Linked DNA regions of Arabidopsis thaliana. The protein of the gene in region 1 interacts with the protein of each later gene in a pairwise test. Each region holds a gene or a part of one and is shown in the gene's direction. Other genes may lie near its edges.

The links.
Region 2: the proteins of TEM1 (region 1) and AT4G25400 interact in a two-hybrid assay, tested with the Arabidopsis thaliana proteins (one large-scale study listed by BioGRID).

What each region holds. Positions count from the first base shown.
Region 1 is NC_003070.9:8,976,634-8,987,659, reverse strand, and holds TEM1 (AP2/B3 transcription factor family protein), read left to right. Parts: upstream 1-4,345; 5' UTR 4,346-4,683; coding exon 4,684-5,769; 3' UTR 5,770-6,104; downstream 6,105-11,026. Other genes in the region: AT1G25550 (myb-like transcription factor family protein), read right to left, coding at 9,718-9,975, 10,061-10,137, 10,225-10,779, 10,872-11,016. UniProt on the Arabidopsis thaliana protein: Transcriptional repressor of flowering time on long day plants. Acts directly on FT expression by binding 5'-CAACA-3' and 5'-CACCTG-3 sequences. Functionally redundant with TEM2.
Region 2 is NC_003075.7:12,976,815-12,987,101, forward strand, and holds AT4G25400 (basic helix-loop-helix (bHLH) DNA-binding superfamily protein), read left to right. Parts: upstream 1-4,222; 5' UTR 4,223-4,411; coding exon 4,412-4,582; intron 4,583-4,773; coding exon 4,774-5,166; 3' UTR 5,167-5,422; downstream 5,423-10,287. Other genes in the region: AT4G25390 (Protein kinase superfamily protein), read left to right, coding at 677-2,632; AT4G25410 (basic helix-loop-helix (bHLH) DNA-binding superfamily protein), read left to right, coding at 8,958-9,182, 9,345-9,704, 9,789-9,869.

The sequences.
Region 1 (11,026 bases):
TTAAAGTTCTACGTATTGTCTTCCTCATTTTAAAGGGTCATCTTGTCCTATCTGGCTTTTTATATATATAATTCTTCTTAATACTTACTCTAACAAAAAATATAAAAATAGCTAAACCTTAGTCTATAAATTTAATTATCATATGGTAAAATTTTCTCATCAATCTGACGTTGTTTACACCTTTATGAGGCGTCTATGCAAATGGTTAATTTAGTTCGATAATATATTTTTTCATTATAATGCAATATCAGATACTCAAATTTAATTACGTGATTTTGGTCGTGCTATATATATTTACCAGTGAAAATCAAAATTTCATTACTCAAACTTATTAAGATCTAGAGGGGTTGGAAGTCAGAAAAGCAGATATTATAACATTTAATAACACATTTTCATTCAAGTAAAAAAAAAATTAGTAACAAACCATGGAACCCTAAATGTGGAAATTATTGAAAATTAGTTTTGGTTTTGTTTAGTTAGTGGAAACTGGAGATTGATTAATATAATGGGGTTGTTTACTCATGATTTACTTTGCACAAACGAAAATTTTCGTTCCCCTTAGTCCTTACCTACTGTCTGTTTTGAAATTTCCGCATTTGACAAAAGTTATATGTGATTGAGTTTCATTAGAATAACTCAATAGATACTTTTATATATGAAAATATACTTTTATACTTAATTATGTTAATAATGACTATCTCTCTAACTGGAAAATGGAAACTATACAGGATTAATATGTTAGCAAGAGGAACATACATTCATTATATTAAGCATGATACTTTATGAACAACTAACTTTTTTTTGTTGATCACATGGAACAACTAACTTTATCTAAACAATATTATACAATATTATATATATATAGGTCAATTATATCATAAAAGTTGGCCAAAAGATGGCTTTAGTATGCGCCTAAACCCATCATACTGTATTATGAAAAAACTGTTCCGGCAACTAGTATTTTTTTTGTTGCAAAAGACATTTCGCCAACAGTTCGTCATTTTAATTGATATAAATGGTTGAAATTTGTTCAAGAGGAGAAAAAAAAAGGAGGTCAATTGACTTAATTAGTACCATAAAAATCTGCAAAAATGATCAATTAATTGCAAATAAAATTGCAATTGATTTTTTTTGTAAAACTTCCCCATAATTAATTAATCCGTCAAAACACATCACAACATCACAGTTAGAATTATAAAATGGCATAGTATAAGGAGCTGATTTGATCGGGAATTAAAACTATAAATACATCAATTAGGTCTGCAATAATGATTTTTAAAAATTAGGTTTCCAGTGAGTTGGTTATATACTTATATAAATAGCATGCTTAATATCACGTTTTTTATTTATAATTAAGAAAATGTGGGGAGCCACACACTAAATGATTTAATACAACTTAATTAGTTTTGGTAAGGTGGCCTAAGTTAGGCCATGTTATTAAATTACTACTCCACTGGATTTGAGTTGATTTGTTTGGCCAACCTGATTATCCCCAATACAAAAATACTCTCATGTTATTATAGACTGATATATCTGTGAGTAATGTATATATTATTCTCTTGATTATACCAAAATGGAAGATAAGAATCTAAAATGAACGACTGAGATGGAACTGTAATATTACTAAAAATAGGATGAAGTTTGGGTCCAGATAGAAGAAATTATGAGGAGGATGGTGCTGAGTGCTGACCTTTTCGTCCTTGGAAACATATCTCACTCGTTGTCTTCCCACTTGCAATATTGCATGGCCCAATTCTTCAATGAAACGACACCGTTTCCAGTTACACCAAACCCTTCTCAACTAATTTATGTTATGTGGCAATCTTGCATGTTAATTACATGTATTCAACACATGAGTCTATCTATCTTCCGATTAATTTTCCACCAAAAGTGATATAACTTTTGATAATAATTGAGACGGACCAACATTGTATTTTTAGGCAAACGCAAATTACTGTTTAATCGAAATTTTAGATAAAGTAAGGTAAGATCAGACCAAAAAAACAAAGAGCCTACTATTATAAAGTTTCGACATAAGAAGGTCAATGATGTGGATGATATAACCAATTGCAAGTTAATGAGACGTGATACATAAATTTCCTTAAATCTAAACTTGTATCCGGTGGTACTAGATTTAAAATATCCTTATAAAGTTCGTTGATATATACATACACACCAAACTCATTTTAGCTTGTTGTTGTTTGATAAAGATCCAAGATAATATGAAATCACTTTTTAAAAATTAATCTATTTAATGTCACACATCAACTATTTTATCTTTCCATTTCAGAATTTTGATTTTTTTCGGTAGAATATAATGGAGCTCTGATGAGTATGTGACCCACTAATCAAATGGTTCATTGACTAGCTCGGTTTTAAGCTTTAAGTCCTTGAGATCATTATCTTCAACAGAAGACTTATAAATACTATTTTATTTGAGGAAATGATAGGGTTATTCAACAAGTATATATATGCTCATCTTTTAAAAAGGGGATAAGTATTACTTTTGTTTCAAACAAAATGGATAAACATCTGAGGGAAGAAGGTAGGACCAATATAAAAGTGGAAAAATTAGGTACTCTGCTCCGTACAAGAATATGGCTCATGGGCAAAATACATTGGGTTTATGATTCATCTCCCCCCTTCACATATGTACAATGTATTATATCATGTTGTTCTTCTTGTCCCCATTCTTGATATCTTAAATATTTAAGTCCAATTCATATAATTGAGCAATAATTATGTTTGAACTCATTAGTTATTGCTTATGAAAACTGATCAAAACAACAAAAAGTTGACGTTTTAAGTTTTGCATTCAAACTAGGGCAACTGTGTTAGTTTTATCTTCGACGACGTGGATATAAGTTTTTTAAAATTATGTAGGTATAATAAATTAAATAGAAAGAAAAAAACTATATAATGAAACAAAAGAGAAACAGAGGAGAGTTTGATGGTTTAGGACGAATCTGGTTTATTTAGTTCAGCCAATAAAAGCATAGTTCCAATGCAAGTGGGAACATCAACTAAGTCTCACTACTTTTTAAAATAGTCGAATAAATCTGCATGCAGTACTTTGTTATGCGTATATAATATCAAATAGTAGTACAATTTGATAAAAATGTTATATGTTTAATTTGGTGGATCATAGAAGGATTAATTTTTATGATCAAATAACGAAGCCACGAAGAACTAAATCTGACCGTTTGATGCTTATTCGAGAACTATAACAATATTAGGACGTCATTCATGTATCTTTATTAAAAATATGTGATCTTAAACAAAGCTTCGTGCATAGATAAGAAGGGACTAGTCACTCTAATAAGATCAATAAGATATGTTGTTTCTCTTTGTAAACCGAAAATAGTGGGCAATTAGATCACGAGTCTTGGCTTTGCTGGCGTATTCCAACGTTGTCTTATCATTATCTCAAAATATTATTATAGGTCGTCTCATTTCATACCCGTCAAAATAATAGTTGTTCTTATATGTTTCGAACAAGTCACTTTAGGAATTAGGATGGAAAACATATCCTATTTGAGTGGTATTGGTTAATTTGAGAAATTGAGCGTAAAGGAAGACAATGCGTAAGAAAGGCAACAATACGTACTATGATTCTACGTACAAAGAAAGTGCTTAGGGGATAAAAACCAAACTAGGTAAGGACTTGTAGGAAACATAAGAGAACCTAATGATCAAGACCTCCCCAACTAAAGCAAAATATGTAAAGAGACACGTCATGTTCCAAATATGGAAGGACGAATATAGTTTCAAGAAAAGCCTCATGATCAAAGGGGGGATGCACTATTTAATTAGAGAATCACAACAAAACAAAACAAAAGGTCCAAATCTCATGTGAACCCCCTTCCCACTTGGCCCTCTATTCTATCCCCATTTGTGCTATTACACATCGCCCATTACTCATTTTTCTATCTCTCAACGAGTCAACTCTATTCAATAATTTTACATATCTTTCTACTACTATTCTTGTATGGACCATTCGATTTTTGGAAACTTCTTTTCTCTTAAAAAAACATCAATAATATCGGGCGAAATGTCAAATGTGGTTTTTCTTAGCCCTATTTACCATTCTTAACCACATCAAGAATCTCATTGCTAGTGTTGTAATTATTCTTTGTCCTTTAGTGAAAACATTAAGAAAAATTCATCTATTGATGTTCACGTTCTCTGTAAATTTTTTATAGACGCATGTTACACGTAATATATTATTAGTTTATTACCATATGAAGGGACTAATTATGGCAACAACAAGATTATAAAAAAAGGACTAATCAAAAGGTACCAAAATTAGTACGAATGTAATAAATAAAATAAAACTTTATGACACTAGCACACATATTTTTGGACTCTTCCCACGAAACTTCCTCTACAAAACACATTTTGCCATTTGTTGCAAGACTTGACCCTACTCCTCTGCACCTCTTCTCCTTTCTCTTTTATTTTATTTTCACCTTTCTTTCATAAATACACATACATTACCCACATTTTACATTTATCTCTTATTATCCTATTCAATTTTGACAAAACAAAACAAATAATATCAACAACGTACATGCACTTCCTTGTGTATATATATAAACTCCAAACCCCATCTCTTCATAAAGCAACAAAAACTTAACCCATTTCTTCTTCTTTTTTTGTTTCTCTCTCACAAACACAACAAATATGGAATACAGCTGTGTAGACGACAGTAGTACAACGTCAGAATCTCTCTCCATCTCTACTACTCCAAAGCCGACAACGACGACGGAGAAGAAACTCTCTTCTCCGCCGGCGACGTCGATGCGTCTCTACAGAATGGGAAGCGGCGGAAGCAGCGTCGTTTTGGATTCAGAGAACGGCGTCGAGACCGAGTCACGTAAGCTTCCTTCGTCGAAATATAAAGGCGTTGTGCCTCAGCCTAACGGAAGATGGGGAGCTCAGATTTACGAGAAGCATCAGCGAGTTTGGCTCGGTACTTTCAACGAGGAAGAAGAAGCTGCGTCTTCTTACGACATCGCCGTGAGGAGATTCCGCGGCCGCGACGCCGTCACTAACTTCAAATCTCAAGTTGATGGAAACGACGCCGAATCGGCTTTTCTTGACGCTCATTCTAAAGCTGAGATCGTGGATATGTTGAGGAAACACACTTACGCCGATGAGTTTGAGCAGAGTAGACGGAAGTTTGTTAACGGCGACGGAAAACGCTCTGGGTTGGAGACGGCGACGTACGGAAACGACGCTGTTTTGAGAGCGCGTGAGGTTTTGTTCGAGAAGACTGTTACGCCGAGCGACGTCGGGAAGCTGAACCGTTTAGTGATACCGAAACAACACGCGGAGAAGCATTTTCCGTTACCGGCGATGACGACGGCGATGGGGATGAATCCGTCTCCGACGAAAGGCGTTTTGATTAACTTGGAAGATAGAACAGGGAAAGTGTGGCGGTTCCGTTACAGTTACTGGAACAGCAGTCAAAGTTACGTGTTGACCAAGGGCTGGAGCCGGTTCGTTAAAGAGAAGAATCTTCGAGCCGGTGATGTGGTTTGTTTCGAGAGATCAACCGGACCAGACCGGCAATTGTATATCCACTGGAAAGTCCGGTCTAGTCCGGTTCAGACTGTGGTTAGGCTATTCGGAGTCAACATTTTCAATGTGAGTAACGAGAAACCAAACGACGTCGCAGTAGAGTGTGTTGGCAAGAAGAGATCTCGGGAAGATGATTTGTTTTCGTTAGGGTGTTCCAAGAAGCAGGCGATTATCAACATCTTGTGACAAATTCTTTTTTTTTGGTTTTTTTTCTTCAATTTGTTTCTCCTTTTTCAATATTTTGTATTGAAATGACAAGTTGTAAATTAGGACAAGACAAGAAAAAATGACAACTAGACAAAATAGTTTTTGTTTACATCTAATTTAGGATCTGTTTTTTCACCCTTTCCTGAAATATGATATGTGTTCTCCTCCTTAATCTAATAATCTTGTTTAATCTTTGGTTTATAGCCAACTTTATAGCATATTTTTCCAATTGAAATAGAGTTGTTATGAGTATATAATCCCACACTAATATTTATGCATTTACTTTCATATATACATAATATACATTATTGGAGAAAAATATCTTATACGATCTATAAGAATAGTATAATTAAATGTCAACATGTCCAATTAAAACATGGGTGCGATTCGAAAATCTATTTATGTGGTTGAGATGCTTAAGCGGAGAACAACGTCGATCGTTCAAAGATTTTGTACGTTTCTTAAACTAAGTTTAAAAACTGTTTTTTCGTGTACGATTTTGGGGAAAAACACTGACCAAAATAATTAAGAACATGCACGGAATCTAGATTACGATTTTAGAACCATTGTTATGTTTAATAGAAATACATCTCGAAGTTGATAATTATTTTTCTTATGCCTTAAGATTCATGCATCTTATTTATTTCACGAAGTATAGTTGTGTTTAAAAAGAATCAATTAGATCTTAAAGGCTACACATGATGTATGTGGACACTCGCATATAAGTTCATATATTGTTTTTATCATGACAATAACCACAACTTTTTGTTTCTCAATCATTTAATTACTTACGAGACATGCATTGGCAAGATATTTATATTCACTGGAGTAATGTTGAAATTTAGTAAATAAAATGTACATAAATGTATTTTCAGAATAACAAAAAGAAAACAAAATCAAAAGATCATTTGTTTATGAATTTATTATCGTCAACATATATTTAGTACTAGTTACTAAAACTAAACATAATTTTGATAAAAATTAATCCTTATAACAAAAAACGTAAATAGCTAATGATTTTTCTGATTAAACATGAAAACATGGTTAAATGTTCTAAAACTAGTGTAATCCCTTACATTTAGTTGTTGAATATTGCTCTCAATTCTCATGACTTGGAGCCCATGATGTACAAAAAGCCCATGCTCATTTAAAAGCCGAACGTTTGTTGATTTTCTAATGTTAGCGAACTTGAAACCTAAAACTTGTGGGTTATGGTACCACTTGAGATGACACATATAATATAAGCCCAACTCATGTTAGTTAAATTGTGACTCATTTAGACGTCTTTTCTTGGGCCAAATTTTACAATAAACATCAAAATAAGATTTGTAGAAACATTCTGAATTTCTGAGAGTGACAAAATAAAAAAAAAATACTTGGCCTTATGGAATCTGAAAGAAGCAAAAGCCTTCAAATATTTCGAGATATGTGTTCATCGCTCGAACAGTACAAGTATTTTATTTTCTTGTATACTTTTGATTGAACCATTAGGCAGTAGATGTGCATTAAATTTTCAACGTAATTTTGACTATAAATGTACGCAGTAGCTCCACTTCAACAGAAACTAAGTAAGACGTACATGTTTGTCCGTCATGCATATAACTAGTTCTCGTTAGTATTTACATTAGCTTTTGTATTAGCAAACTTTGCATGATGAGATATTGTAATTTAGGTGGTTGATGGCGTTGGAATGATTTCTCATTGGAACGTTTTTCAACTTTCTTCACTTGACATTTATTTTCTACTATATATATATATATAACTTTTTTTTGAGTTCGCAACATCTCAAAATTAATTTGCTTTTAATAAGAGAAATATAAACTGGTATAAAGAACGATGTAACAAATGAAATGAGTATTAAAAATTTCTTCTTTTTACAAGAATCAATTTTTATGTTTTAGTTTCTCAATATATAGTCCATATTTTTGGTCACACTAACATGAATTTTTTCAATTAATAAATTAGAGTGTCAAAAAACTTCACCGAATTCTTACACAATTTGTTTTTTTAGCAAAATGCATGCTATCGGTAAAAAAAATCGGTGAAGTTTTTTTTTGCTATTTTTGCCATTTTTCAATAGTAACTTTTCCATTTGACGTTAACCTGACTAAATAATTTTAGATAAGTTAATTCTAAATCAAAGGAACCGAATCCATCATAATTGACCTAGACTATGACAGACATCGTATAACTAATTAAATAGACTAGAATCCCAAGCTAATGAATAATGATATGCCACATCTCAGCAAAGTCTAAGAGCAAAAGATGAATGCATTAACGTAATTTAGAATCCATTGACTCGCCCTAGTGACTAGTATTTTTATTTTATTTTATTTTGGGACAAAATCCCTAGTGACTAGTATAAGATACGAATACACACCAAAAAAAAGTATAAGATACGAATAAACAAAGTTTATGCTATTATTTTTGTCGCAATTTGCTTGGTTTACTAAGGGAAAGGCTGACAATCTTGTCTACATTTTGGAAGAAAAGATTCAAATTTAAACCAAAAAATATCTAATATCAAAACATATCTTCTTCATAAATAAATAGGTGATGGTTAGCTGTATTTGAGGTAAAGGGAGGGCCACTTGGCCTTTAGGAGAAGGTAAGGGTCAGCAGCTTTGTTAATCCAACCTCTTTTTAGAGAGGTGTTTAACGCAATTTCAAGATATTTGAATCCGATGATATTTATCTCCTGATTACATGGATCACTGTCTTTGTATTTCAAGATATCCGTTTGAAAATAGTAGGCGTTACATGTATTCGTTTATAAAAAGTAAGAAGTATTTTCTGAAATTGTAATTTATTGAAAAAATCACAGTACGTTACTACGTTTCATAGAATACCCATGAACATTTTTGATATAGTAATGTAGTATATGTTCAACAAGTCATTAACATTGGTGATGACTTGTATTATTGATATATATGGTGGGGTAATGAATAATATAATGAAATAATGGTGAGCTGAACAAAAATATTGTGAAATTATCATGAAAATGAAAAACGTTCGATTCGTTTACAAGAATGATACCAAAATGAAAAACGTTCGATTCGTTTTACAAGAATGATACCAATAACTTTTTTTGTCACAAGAAGATATTAAGATAACTTCAAAGAGCAGAGAATATCGAAACTTTTTTTAAAAAGGCAGAGAATATACTTTGGACAGCACTGATATCATTTTTTTCAAAAGAAAATGTATTTGGTAAGGAATCATTTTTCTTGTGATTCTTTAATCAGTTGCATGAAAAATGCCAAAACAAATATATGCTTCTTCTTTTTTGAAATTCAGAATATTCGGCCACGGGGACCACACACCTCAAAACGAAAACAAACGAGAAATGGAATTTTAGACAAATTCTAGTACACGATACGACCCATATTATTTGTATACTATTCATTGATTGATTAATTTGAGCATTAAGAATCTGGGTTGGTCGTTATTAATTGTTTAATTAATCACCGGCTTGGAAAAAATGATTATCCTTTCTCTCTCAAATGGGTCGTTGGTCCTCCATTCCTTCATGAACACGTTGCCACATGGAAACGTTATGAAAGCGCGTTACTACTTACCACAATGGACCAGAAAATTCTTAAAGTTACGTCTTTGTATTAAATTGCACAATTCCATTTATATAATTCACCAAATCAGATGTTGAATTTTCTTTCCCACATATGAAGATCATTTTCTGATATGTAGCCATATCAAGACGGAATCACTCACCCAAAAAGGCAAAAGCCAATAGTATTATCATAAAACTCGAAAGAAATATCAAAACTTTTTCTTTTATTCAATTGTGTGCAATGTATATCTATTGTTACAATTTATTCAAAACTCTTAAACCTAGAACGAACATTCTTGGTTACAAAACAAATATATAAAGAAGAAAACAAATTTTCATACAAATCGGTAACTATATATTTATGAAAGAGGAAGAAGGTGTGGTGTGTGTGTAGTAGTAGAAGATGTTGCGGGAGATTTGCAACCCCGATTGCTTCTCTCTCCCGACGTTGAAGATTGCGGCGGTTGTGTCGCCACAGGAGCGTAAACTCTATTATTAGTTGTATCGTGTGAAGGTACCCAAATGCCTTCCATCACCATAAACTGCCGTTGTTGTGGATTTTCACCACCGGTCCTTACTACCGGAGTAGCTGGTCTTCTTGTATGCAATCTATATTTCTATAAAAATCAAGAAAGTTGATAAAAATTATAGAACTATGAATCTATGTTGTAGTGAGAACATAAAATGATTATGTTTTGTTACCTGTAAATGACTTTTAACTTCGTCATTAGTTAAACCATCGACCTTCATAAGATCTCTAATCTGCTTAGGCGTAGCAACTGCATATTTGACAATGAACAAAAATTAAATATATACTTCTCGTAAAATTATGATTCTCAAACAATCAAAGGATTTAATATATTTACCATGTGATCCACCAAGTTGTTGAAGCGCGTGCAAGAATCTGCGGTGTAACTCCGGTGACCAGCAACGTCTTTGCTTCCTATTCGAATGAGATTGTTTCTGCTCCTCAAACTCTTTTCCACCCCCGACGGTTTCCGCCGTGGAACTAGTTGTCGTCGTCGACGTCGGAGTAATTGCTTTAATAAGTGGTTGAGAATCTGCAGCCTTAGGTTTCTCCTTTTGAAACGGTTGAAACGCACCAGCGCTGCGTTTGACTTCAATTACCATCGGTTTCTTATTATTAGGTTGTGGATCTGGTGATTGGTTCCACAATTGAACAGATCTAAGCCAATCCGATTTCTTCTTATCACCATCGTTATTTTCATTGGTCATCATCTCAGTTTTCTCAGCTTCTTCATCTTTATCGGTTTCATCAGATGAAGCAGAACTCCACTTGATTGGCATAAACTCTTCAAACACGGCACCGCCGCATTCACTAGTTGTCCGCTCAGAACATTCTGACTGGCCGCCAACATGTTCTGAAGATTCCGATAACTCCTTCCGACATGACTCGATAGCTACAAGAATGATATGTAAACAATTAAGAAACTGGAAGCGATCGTGAAAACGAAGAATATATATATCAAAAGAGGATGTGTAATAACATTACCTTGGGTTACAAGTTCTAAACATAAAGGGAGCTCACGTTGAAAGACTTGAATCTTTTTTTGTTCTTCTTCTAGAGCTTCTACATATTCGTGACATCTCTTCATTTTCTGGGTGTAATCCATGTCACCGCTCTTGAACATCATCATTATGAACAGA
Region 2 (10,287 bases), on another chromosome or scaffold:
TCTAAATACAGAAAAGAGTTGCGTGCCGTTTTCACTATCTTAAGGAGTAATTAATTAGTTTCAAGTAAAATACCAAATTAGACAATTCCACATGGTGATCTTTGATGGCCTCCCCACCACCGCACGTGAATTTGGAATACCTTGTTTAGTTTCATTATCAAATTACACCTAAACGCGTTACTAATTAAATTATTTATTGTCTATCAAAAAGCCACGCAACAACAGTCTAGCATTTAAATCTTCACGTGGGTCTAACCCGGTTCCGGTTTCATTATCCGGGTATATGTTTTGGCTTCGTCTGAATTTGAATTTGAGTTTTCTCATTCAAAAAACGATAAATAAATAAAATATTGGTCAGTTATTCTTTCTATGGTTCTTGTTTGATATAGAAAGAATAACAGGTTTTGGATTTGTCTGTGTGTTTGGACTTTGGATTAGTATTCATTCGGTTTAACCAATCAAAATTCGCAACCTTAACACGTTATAAACCATGATGTAATGATTTAATCAATGATCAATTAAATGTATAGAAATTTATTTTCCATTTCCGCAACAGCTCAAAACGTTTTCTCTCTTTTCCGATTTTAGTCTAAAAACTGAAACAAACACAAAAAGCAACAATTTGTCTTTGAAAATCTCCTCTGTGTATGGTTCAGCTTCGGTTTACTAAATCTCTATGCCGTCACGATCAATCTCGGCACCGGTTCCGGTTCTTGCTCCGGCTCCGATCGTTTCCTCTTTAGTCCCAGCAGCGCCGTCAGGACATCAGAATAAGACAACGCGAATCTTTCCACCGTTCGTGGTGGCTGGAGCCGGCGCCGGTTTCTCTCTTTTCATCACTCTCTCCGTCTGTTTCTGTAAATTCAGCCGGAAACGTTCATCACCTCCGGCGGAAAACGCTTCCTCTTCGCCTCGGAGACCGTCGCCACGTGAGTTTTCATATTCGTCTCTCCGTCGCGCCACCGGTTCTTTCTCGCAGGCGAATAGACTAGGTCAGGGCGGATTTGGCGTCGTGTTTCGTGGAACTATCTCCGGCGGCGAGAATGTAGCTGTTAAAGTAATGGATTCAGGATCTCTTCAAGGAGAAGGTGAGTTTCAGAACGAGTTGTTCTTCGCCGCCAAGCTTGACTCGCCTCACGTTGTCCCTGTTATTGGTTTCTCTCATGATCGAAAACGACGACGTTTGCTTCTTGTTTACAAGCTTATGGACAATGGTAATCTCCAAGACGCCTTGCTTCACCGGAGATGCCCTGAGCTTATGGATTGGAATCGGAGGTTTTTGGTTGCCGTTAACATTGCCGATGGGATTAAGCATCTTCATAGTCTTGAACCACCTGTGATTCATGGTGATATTAAGCCTAGCAATGTTCTATTAGATAGTCTCTTCTCTGCCAAAATCGCTGATTTTGGTTTGGCTAGGTTGAAAGCAGAGCAAGTGGAGATTAGTGTAGCTCCGGAGCGTGATGGTGATGGATCTATGGTTGAAGAAGTAGAGAGTGTGGTAACTACTGTGACTGGTTATGAAGATTTTAACTTTGGGTTGGTTGATCAGTCTCCGGAGAGTGTTGCTAAGGTTCCTGGGTCTGTGAGTGCTTCTCCTGAGGCGACGACGGTTGTCTCTGTTTCTCCGGAAATGGGAGAGAAAACGGATGAGGATGGTGGTAGTGTTGTGGTGATGAAGAAGGGGAAAGAGAGTGAGAGCAAAGATTGGTGGTGGAAGCAGGAGAGCAATGTTGAAAGAGGGAGAGTGAAAGAGTATGTAATGCAATGGATTGGTTCAGAGGTAAAGAAGGAGAGACCAAGCAGAAGTGATTGGATTGAGGCGGCAGCTTTGTCTTCTTCGTCAAGTAAGAAACTTGAGAAGAAGACTAGCAAGAGACTAGATTGGTGGTTGTCATTGGAGGAAGAGGATGAGAATAAGAAGAAGAAGAAGCGGAGGATGGTTAGAGAGTGGTGGAAAGATGAGTATCGTAGAGAACTCGCTAAGAAAAGGAAGAAGAAGAAGAAGATGACTTTAGAAGCCGAGTTTTGTAGTGATGATGGGAGTAGTAGTGTGAGTCAATGGCGGCGTGGTAGTGGTAGTGGTAGCAGCATAGATTGGTGGTTAGATGGGTTAAGTGGTGAACGATGGTTGAGAGCAAGGGGAAATAGCCATGACTCGGTGAGCGGTGAGATAGCTAAGAGCTGCGGAATTAGTAGCACGCCGAGCATGAGAGGGACTGTGTGCTATGCAGCTCCTGAGTACTGTAACTTGGACAACAACGTGTCAGAGAAATGTGATGTCTATAGCTACGGTGTTCTGTTGTTAGTTCTGATTTCCGGGAGGCGCCCGTTGGAGATGACGGGCTCCGCGAGTGAGATACAACGGGCAAACCTCATGTCTTGGGCGAGGAAGTTGGCGAGAAGAGGAAAACTTGTTGATCTTGTGGATCAAAAGTTGCAAAACTTAGACCAAGAACAAGCAGTGTTGTGCATAAAGGTGGCTTTGTTGTGTCTGCAAAGATTACCGATTTCACGACCGTCAATGAAAGAGGTCTTGGGAATGCTTAAAGGAGAAGTGAATCTACCAGAGTTGCCTAGTGAGTTCTCACCATCGCCACCATTAAAGACAACGAGGAAGCAGCGCCGTTGACTAATTTAGGAATCATTTTGATTATTATTATTCAAGTGTTACACCGCTAGTTTTAGGAACTTTGATTCAATTTCACTATACTTTCCAATTTCTCTTTCTATAGTTTCACACGCATTATTGACATTGATTTTTTTTTTACACGTTTATACTTCGATGTCAATATGTCATACAACACTTCTTCAAATCGGAGTTGCTCGGGATTGGATTATTAGCAGAAAGAAAAGGCTAAAACTTTTTCCACCTCCAAAAGTCATTTAAAGGTCACACAAATCCTATGGGCCTAATCAGTTAACAAACCACTTCCAATCGAGTTAAATGAAATGAAGATACCAAATTGGGTCACGTTAGGAGTCAGCAGTTTGTGTTCTTTATATATGGACATGGGCCATCTTCGATTTTTCTTATTCGTTTCTACTTAAAATCACCAAGATTTATTGAATTTTTCTTCTTATTATTATTTGGCCCTTATATAGAGTATGGTCTATCCATAATTTGGCCCAGTTTTTTAAAAATACTAGATATTTGGAACATGCATGCTTTTTATTTTTAAATGTATCAGATTCAGATGAAACTCAATTATTAAAAAAAAAATCATACATAAACAGTTTAAAATATTTACTACTACTTAATTATTTTCGGATTAAGAAATCCCTTATAACATTTCATAAAACATAGTATTCTGCATTTTTTCAAAAAGTTGTTGTAATGTTTAGAAAACAAATTGAAAATGCAACAGTTTTTAATGAATAAATGCAAGGCGTTATAGAATGTTGGTTTGTTTTTCATTTTAAGTGTTTTTCAATATTTTAAATAATAACAACAACAAAAATCATTTGCTTTCGACTAGAAACAATGACTTATATCATTGCTTATACGAGTGCATGTTACAATCGTATGTGGCGGTTAGTCATCCTACTTGGCTCGATCGATGGTGTATTTGCTGAGGAAAGGGCTTTGTGTTCTGATTAAATTTGAGTTTTGATGGTAGTATGGCTTGAGTAAAGGTTGAGGATGTTGTTTCATTTTCATATGTCTGGCTCTTTCACCTCTTTGGTGGGTATGTGTTGTATCAAACAATCGTCTCTTAATACAATACCAGTTGACAAAAAAAGAGCAGTAACTAATTCTTATAAACTATAGTACATTATTTCCTATATATTTTATAACATAAAATAAATCATATTTTCTCATAATTTAAAGTGCTATTCAATGATTTTTAGGAATACGATCCAGCATATGGCCTTGCAGTCTATAGTATATATAAAAATAATTATATGGTACCTATGTCAGAGATATCTAGGATATATAGTAGATCGTCGTACAATTGATATATCATATAGTATGTGTATACAATAAGAAAATAAACATATAAATTGTACGATCTCTAAAGAATACTTTAAAAATGATAAATATTAAGATATGGAATGTTGAAGGGAACCTATTAAAAAGAGAAGAAATTAATGATGAAGCAGAAAGACGTCATTGCTTACCCTAACAAACCTCTCTCTCCATCTTTTTCCGATACGTCTACCAATAACTTAGTATTTTTTTCTCTTAGTTTTTAATATTATAACCAAACCCTTTTACTATCTTTTTTCCGACTCCCATATCTTTTTTTTTTCCGACTCCCATATTATTCAACTTTACAACAAATCCCTGACTAGAGCAAATCCCAGAGCACAAGATCAGATCCTTCTGTCTCATCATCATCATCATTATTATAATCATAATTACAAGAAGAATCGTTGTTCAAAATAATTAACGTATAACGACTTCTAGATGAATAATTTTCAGGAGAAGAAAAGAAGGCGTAGTAAAACGCCGAGAGTTTGTAATAACGAAGAAAACATGGAGAAGTTAGTACATAAAGAAATTGAGAAACGAAGGAGACAAGAAATGGCTTCTCTCTACGCGTCTCTCCGCTCTCTTCTCCCTTTAGAGTTCATCCAGGTCAAAACCCTAATTACTCTTGCTTTTAATTTCTTCCTCTTCTTCTTCTTTTTTTTTTGTTAAGGAAAAAGTCCACAAGTATGCTTTGTCGCTTAGTTTGTTAAAAAGATTCACTAGAACTCTAACACTCTATCATCACAATATCTCAAGTTGACCTCTACACCTTAATTACGTTTGATTTGGTTTTGTAGGGAAAACGTTCAACGTCAGATCAGGTGAAAGGGGCAGTGAATTACATAGACTATTTGCAAAGGAATATCAAAGACATAAATTCCAAGAGAGATGACCTCGTGTTATTGTCTGGACGAAGCTTTAGGAGTAGTAATGAACAAGAATGGAATGAGATTTCGAATCATGTCGTGATTCGTCCGTGTTTGGTCGGCATAGAGATAGTGTTGAGCATTCTCCAAACGCCATTCTCAAGCGTTCTGCAAGTGCTTCGTGAACACGGTCTCTATGTTCTTGGCTACATCTGTTCCAGTGTAAATGATAGACTCATTCATACTCTACAGGCTGAGGTACAATATCTCGAGCTTACTAACTTTACAGCAATCGAAGCATTACTAACTTTACTAAGAATATAGAGAAATACTTAATCATAACATATATTTCTAACTAACTTTACTAAGAATATAGAGAAATACTTAATCATAACATATATTTCTAACTTTGTTAATGTTTTCGATCTTGTCGGCTTACAAACGCGTTTATGTCCTAATTTGGAATGGAATATAGAATATAGCATACATCTTCTTCATAGCTTTTTGGAATGGCTTATTGTATCAGAGTAATGAATATATATGTTTGAGTTAATATGTGAAGTTGATTTGCCTTATGTTGAGTTAATATGTGAAGTTGATTTGCCTTATGTTGCAGGTCAACGATCTGGCTTTGATCGACTTAGCAGACCTTAAGGATACACTTACCCTGATGAAGTAATTCAAATAATCAAACGTTTTTTTTCAGTAGATTCCTTTTAACTTCTCAAACCAAAACGATGTATATATATGGTTCTTAGTACTTTTACTGTGTATTTATCTAGCTACTTTAAAGAATTTGTGCGTAAGAAACTAATGCTAGCTAGCTTTAATATCACAACCATCTCTTACATATTATATAAACTATGGTCCATCTAAACTTTTTCTTTATCATTGATGTTTTGACTATCTTGTTTATTCACAGAAAAAAATCTTCATTTTGAAAATTTGATTAAATATCTTATGAAAACAAATTATCTTTCAAGAAAATATATTAGTTTACTCTATCTTTTGTTCATTAGGGACAATGACTATTATTTTGAGGATTACCGCATGAGGCCTTCTTATTTCTAGACGTCTCTGCTCCTATATATAAGTCATATAACATTCTTATCTGAAGATGTACGTAATCTGTCGAGTTAGGATATAATTAAGAGAATGGTGGAATTTAATTCGTACACATAGAATTAATGGTATAATTAATTTACTATTGTTGGTGTGAGTAGCATCAAATAGATGATAGAATAGTATTTTGAACAAAAATTCTGATAGATAGTATAAGCCTTCAAACTAAAATTGTTTCCGGACGAATACACGAAAAGAAAAATGAAATAATATTAACTTTCTAAAAACTCATCGATTGATGGGTATACACAAAATGGTTAAAAAGAAAAAAAAATGATTAACAGATTTTGAGATTATATAATACTGAAAATTTGAGTCGGAAATTGATTTGCAATATGCAAAAGACAAGAAACATGAGGCAAAGGAAAAACCATTTTTCAGAGAAATCTAAACATGTGAAATTCGTTTTTCTAAAAGTAACAATTTGCGAATTTATCAGCGACGGATATTTTTTAAAAATAATATGTAATGTTTCTGTTAGAAAGTACTTTTGGTTGACAAAAAGAACTGTTACAAACTTACTTTGTTGTGTACGCACTGTTACAAAATTATCAAATTTGAATCTTGAAAATGGTTAATTAGGGTTGTGTGATACGCACTCCAGATCTGTAATCACAAATTAGCTAATGACTATAAAGTCGATGCAAAAAGTAAAACATAGGGAATGTATATTATATGCCGCTTAGTTGAAAACCGCTACATATCTATGATCGATTTAAATATTTGAACTCTGGAACTGTTGACTTTTCTCTTAGACTTAAATTTTGGTAAACAATTTCAGCAACTAAAATGAGTGAGAAAACTTGGTTGTTGAAAAAAAAAGAGAGAGTGAGAAAACTTTGGTTTAGTTTTCTACAGTGACCAGCTTTGGGGTTTTGGGCGGAATTAATTAGCCAAGTAGGGTCTAGAAAATGTGATCTTTTAACACATGGCCAAAGTCGTTTATATTTGGTGATTCTGTTTAAAACTCACAATTTGTTTTTTTCTTTTCTTAAATTTTGAAATCATATCTATTTAGAACTAAAGTTCATCATAAATTTTGATGACCCTAATAAATAATATAGCGTCAATATAGAGAACTTAGCTGGAGATATATTGTAAATATGTTGTTGTAACGATCTATTACGAATAACTATTGAAATACAATACAATTATTTAAAAGAGCAATATATAATTGTATAATTTACCACATCATTAGGATACTTCGCCCCAAACACATATTTTAATTCGTTTGAACGAACTTAAATAAAAAAAATAAAAAAAATCATTGGTTAAAACTTTTTATTGCAGAAATAATTGGTTGTTACTGTAGAAATAGCGGCTTCTATTCGCAACCGTCAGATATACAAGTCTAAAGAGATGTCTTTAGTTTAGTCGTGACTCCTACAAGGCATGTGTGTACGATCGCCTGATAGGGAATAATTTAACTTTGCATAATCCATATTTTCCGACAATCATCGAGTTGACATGATTCGACATTTGGTCATACACGTAAATATAACAACGTGCTTCTAATTTTAATTTTATAAGATTAAAACTATCAGATAGTACTTTTTGGGATATAGGAAAAATGCATCTCATGTAATAAAACTATAGCAGAAACGTGTCTTAAAAATAATTTACATAATAAATAGTTAACTTGTTTTATCATGACTATAATATGCAAACATTATTGCGGTTGTACGCATGTAATAATATTACTGTATATAAACTGTTATATACCAGCTCTTATAACTTTAAAACTCTATCCATTTTCTTAACGTAATGTATAGTATAAGTGAATGAAATTTTTCTCTTTTTACAAATTTATCTGGTTTATAAAAGTTGCTAATATCAGGCATAATATGGCTTATGGCGTATATTGAGCATATCAGCATACAACACACATCCCTAAAGAAAAGACTTTGGTCAAACATCCAACGAGATTATCTTTTATAGTATAGTGGCTCTTAATATGCGTATATACATATATATAAAAAACAAGGGATTCGTGACAGAGAAGAAGGATTTGCTTTGCCTTGAAAGGATAACCTTTACCAAAAGGATTATTTTTTAATAATGGAAACTGTGGAGGGATGTCATGGTTTTTATATTCAAAGCATATTATATTGAAATAGTATCTTCTTAAGAACAGTATATCTTTAGCATTATATATCTGATACGCAATGGATATGGACGTTTAATAAACATGTGAAAAGACTAGTTGCAGTGTGAGCAGGTGCAAATAAAAAGAAAGGATCGGAGCCCACATGCGACCATCGCAACATCATCAACGGTTGAGATTTGAGGTTTTGTTTTCATGTATCCGAATCTTAAGACATGGTTGCACTTTCACGTCGACATTTGTCAAATAGTTATATTCTCCAGTTCCTCCTAGTTGTATGAGAATATAATTTTGTTTTAGAGAAAATGTGCATTATGGTTTTTTTTTTTTTCCAACAGTTTGCGTTTTAGATACTAATTCTGTATTTCATGGAAAGAGATGGATTCGCAATGGTATTTCACATAAAGGAAATTTTGTGTTGGATGATGGTATGACAAAAGCTGTTTGGAGGGTATAAATTATTAAGTTGACATTAATTTCAAAAATTTATAATTATGTGTTTTAATTCTCTTAATTAAATAAACTGTAGAGGATTTTATTTTGTTATGTATATATATTGACTATAAGTTGTATTCTACTAGTTTGTTACAAATCAAGCCCGAGGCTCATCCCATAAATGAAATAAAAAAAAACTGATAACTATTTCAATTTTATTTAAAAAAAAAAAAAGAGTAATTCCGTAACCTGCATTATTTGGTCCTCCTACTGTGTATCTATTTAATATTTAAATAATGGTCCTCCCTCTCACCTAAGGAGACATAGAGAACCATCTGGTTCTTTAAGGCACCATCATTCAACAAGTAAACAATAAAGGAAATTAAATTATCACAAGACAGAACCACAAAATCCTTTGGAGATCTGACACTGGTAAAGCTCAAAGTGTCAAACTATGGATCCTTATAAGAATCTTAATCCAAAAGGTTACCAGAGACAGAGACCGTTTAGCTCAGCCGGCGAGAGTGGCGGCAGCGGCGGCTCCGGTACGGCCCATGAAACAGATGACAATAAGAAGAAGAAGAAGCTTCTCCACCGCGACATCGAACGCCAAAGAAGACAAGAAATGGCTACACTCTTTGCTACTCTTCGTACTCACTTACCTCTTAAATACATCAAGGTTCATATTCTTAATTACTCACTCTTTTCTCTCAAATTTATTTACTTTTTCGTTATATCAATTGTTCGAAGAAACCAAGATTTGGTGAGATTTGGCTGCTAGGGTTGTGAATATGTCGTTTTTTGTATTTAATTTAGTTTTGTATTTAATCTTTATTTATAGGGAAAAAGAGCTGTGTCGGATCATGTAAATGGAGCGGTAAATTTCATTAAGGACACGGAAGCACGGATTAAAGAACTTAGTGCAAGAAGAGACGAGTTAAGTAGAGAAACCGGCCAAGGATATAAATCGAATCCGGATCCAGGAAAAACTGGATCCGATGTAGGCAAATCGGAGCCGGCGACTGTGATGGTGCAACCACACGTGAGCGGTTTAGAAGTGGTAGTGAGCAGCAACTCCTCAGGCCCCGAAGCTTTGCCACTATCAAAAGTGCTCGAGACAATTCAGGAGAAAGGGCTTGAAGTCATGAGCTCCTTCACTACAAGAGTCAATGATAGGCTCATGCACACTATTCAAGTAGAGGTATGGTTGGTTACAACATGTCAACATGCCATGTCAATGGAAGTTAATCTAGGGTTTCATTACATTTAACTATATTCAATACAGGTTAATAGTTTCGGATGCATAGACTTATTATGGTTGCAGCAGAAGCTAGTTGAGGATTTGATACTTTCGACGGGGTACTAATCATGCAGAAACATACCATTCGTAGTCCTAAAGAACTTCCTCATCGTATGATCTCTTTTACCCGAGCTCTTCATTCGTTATATGAGCTTAGCTAAATAGAAACTCATTTCCAAATTATTGTCCTTTTTAGATGTGGTATTGAAGCCTTGCATGTTAGTGGATATAAAACAGTATTTTTTGTAGATATCATATGTTTGTTGCTCCAATTATTGTTTTCTTGTTCATGAACTTATATATACTTAGAAGTTAAGAACTAATGTGAAAGTCATATATAATTATAAACACTAGAATTTCACATGGTTCTAGTTCATATATCAATGGAAGACTAATATTAGCAATGTTCGATATGGTGTATTTTTGTTCATGTGTTTTACAACATTATAACTATGGTTGATGTTCTAATGAACTAATCTCACCG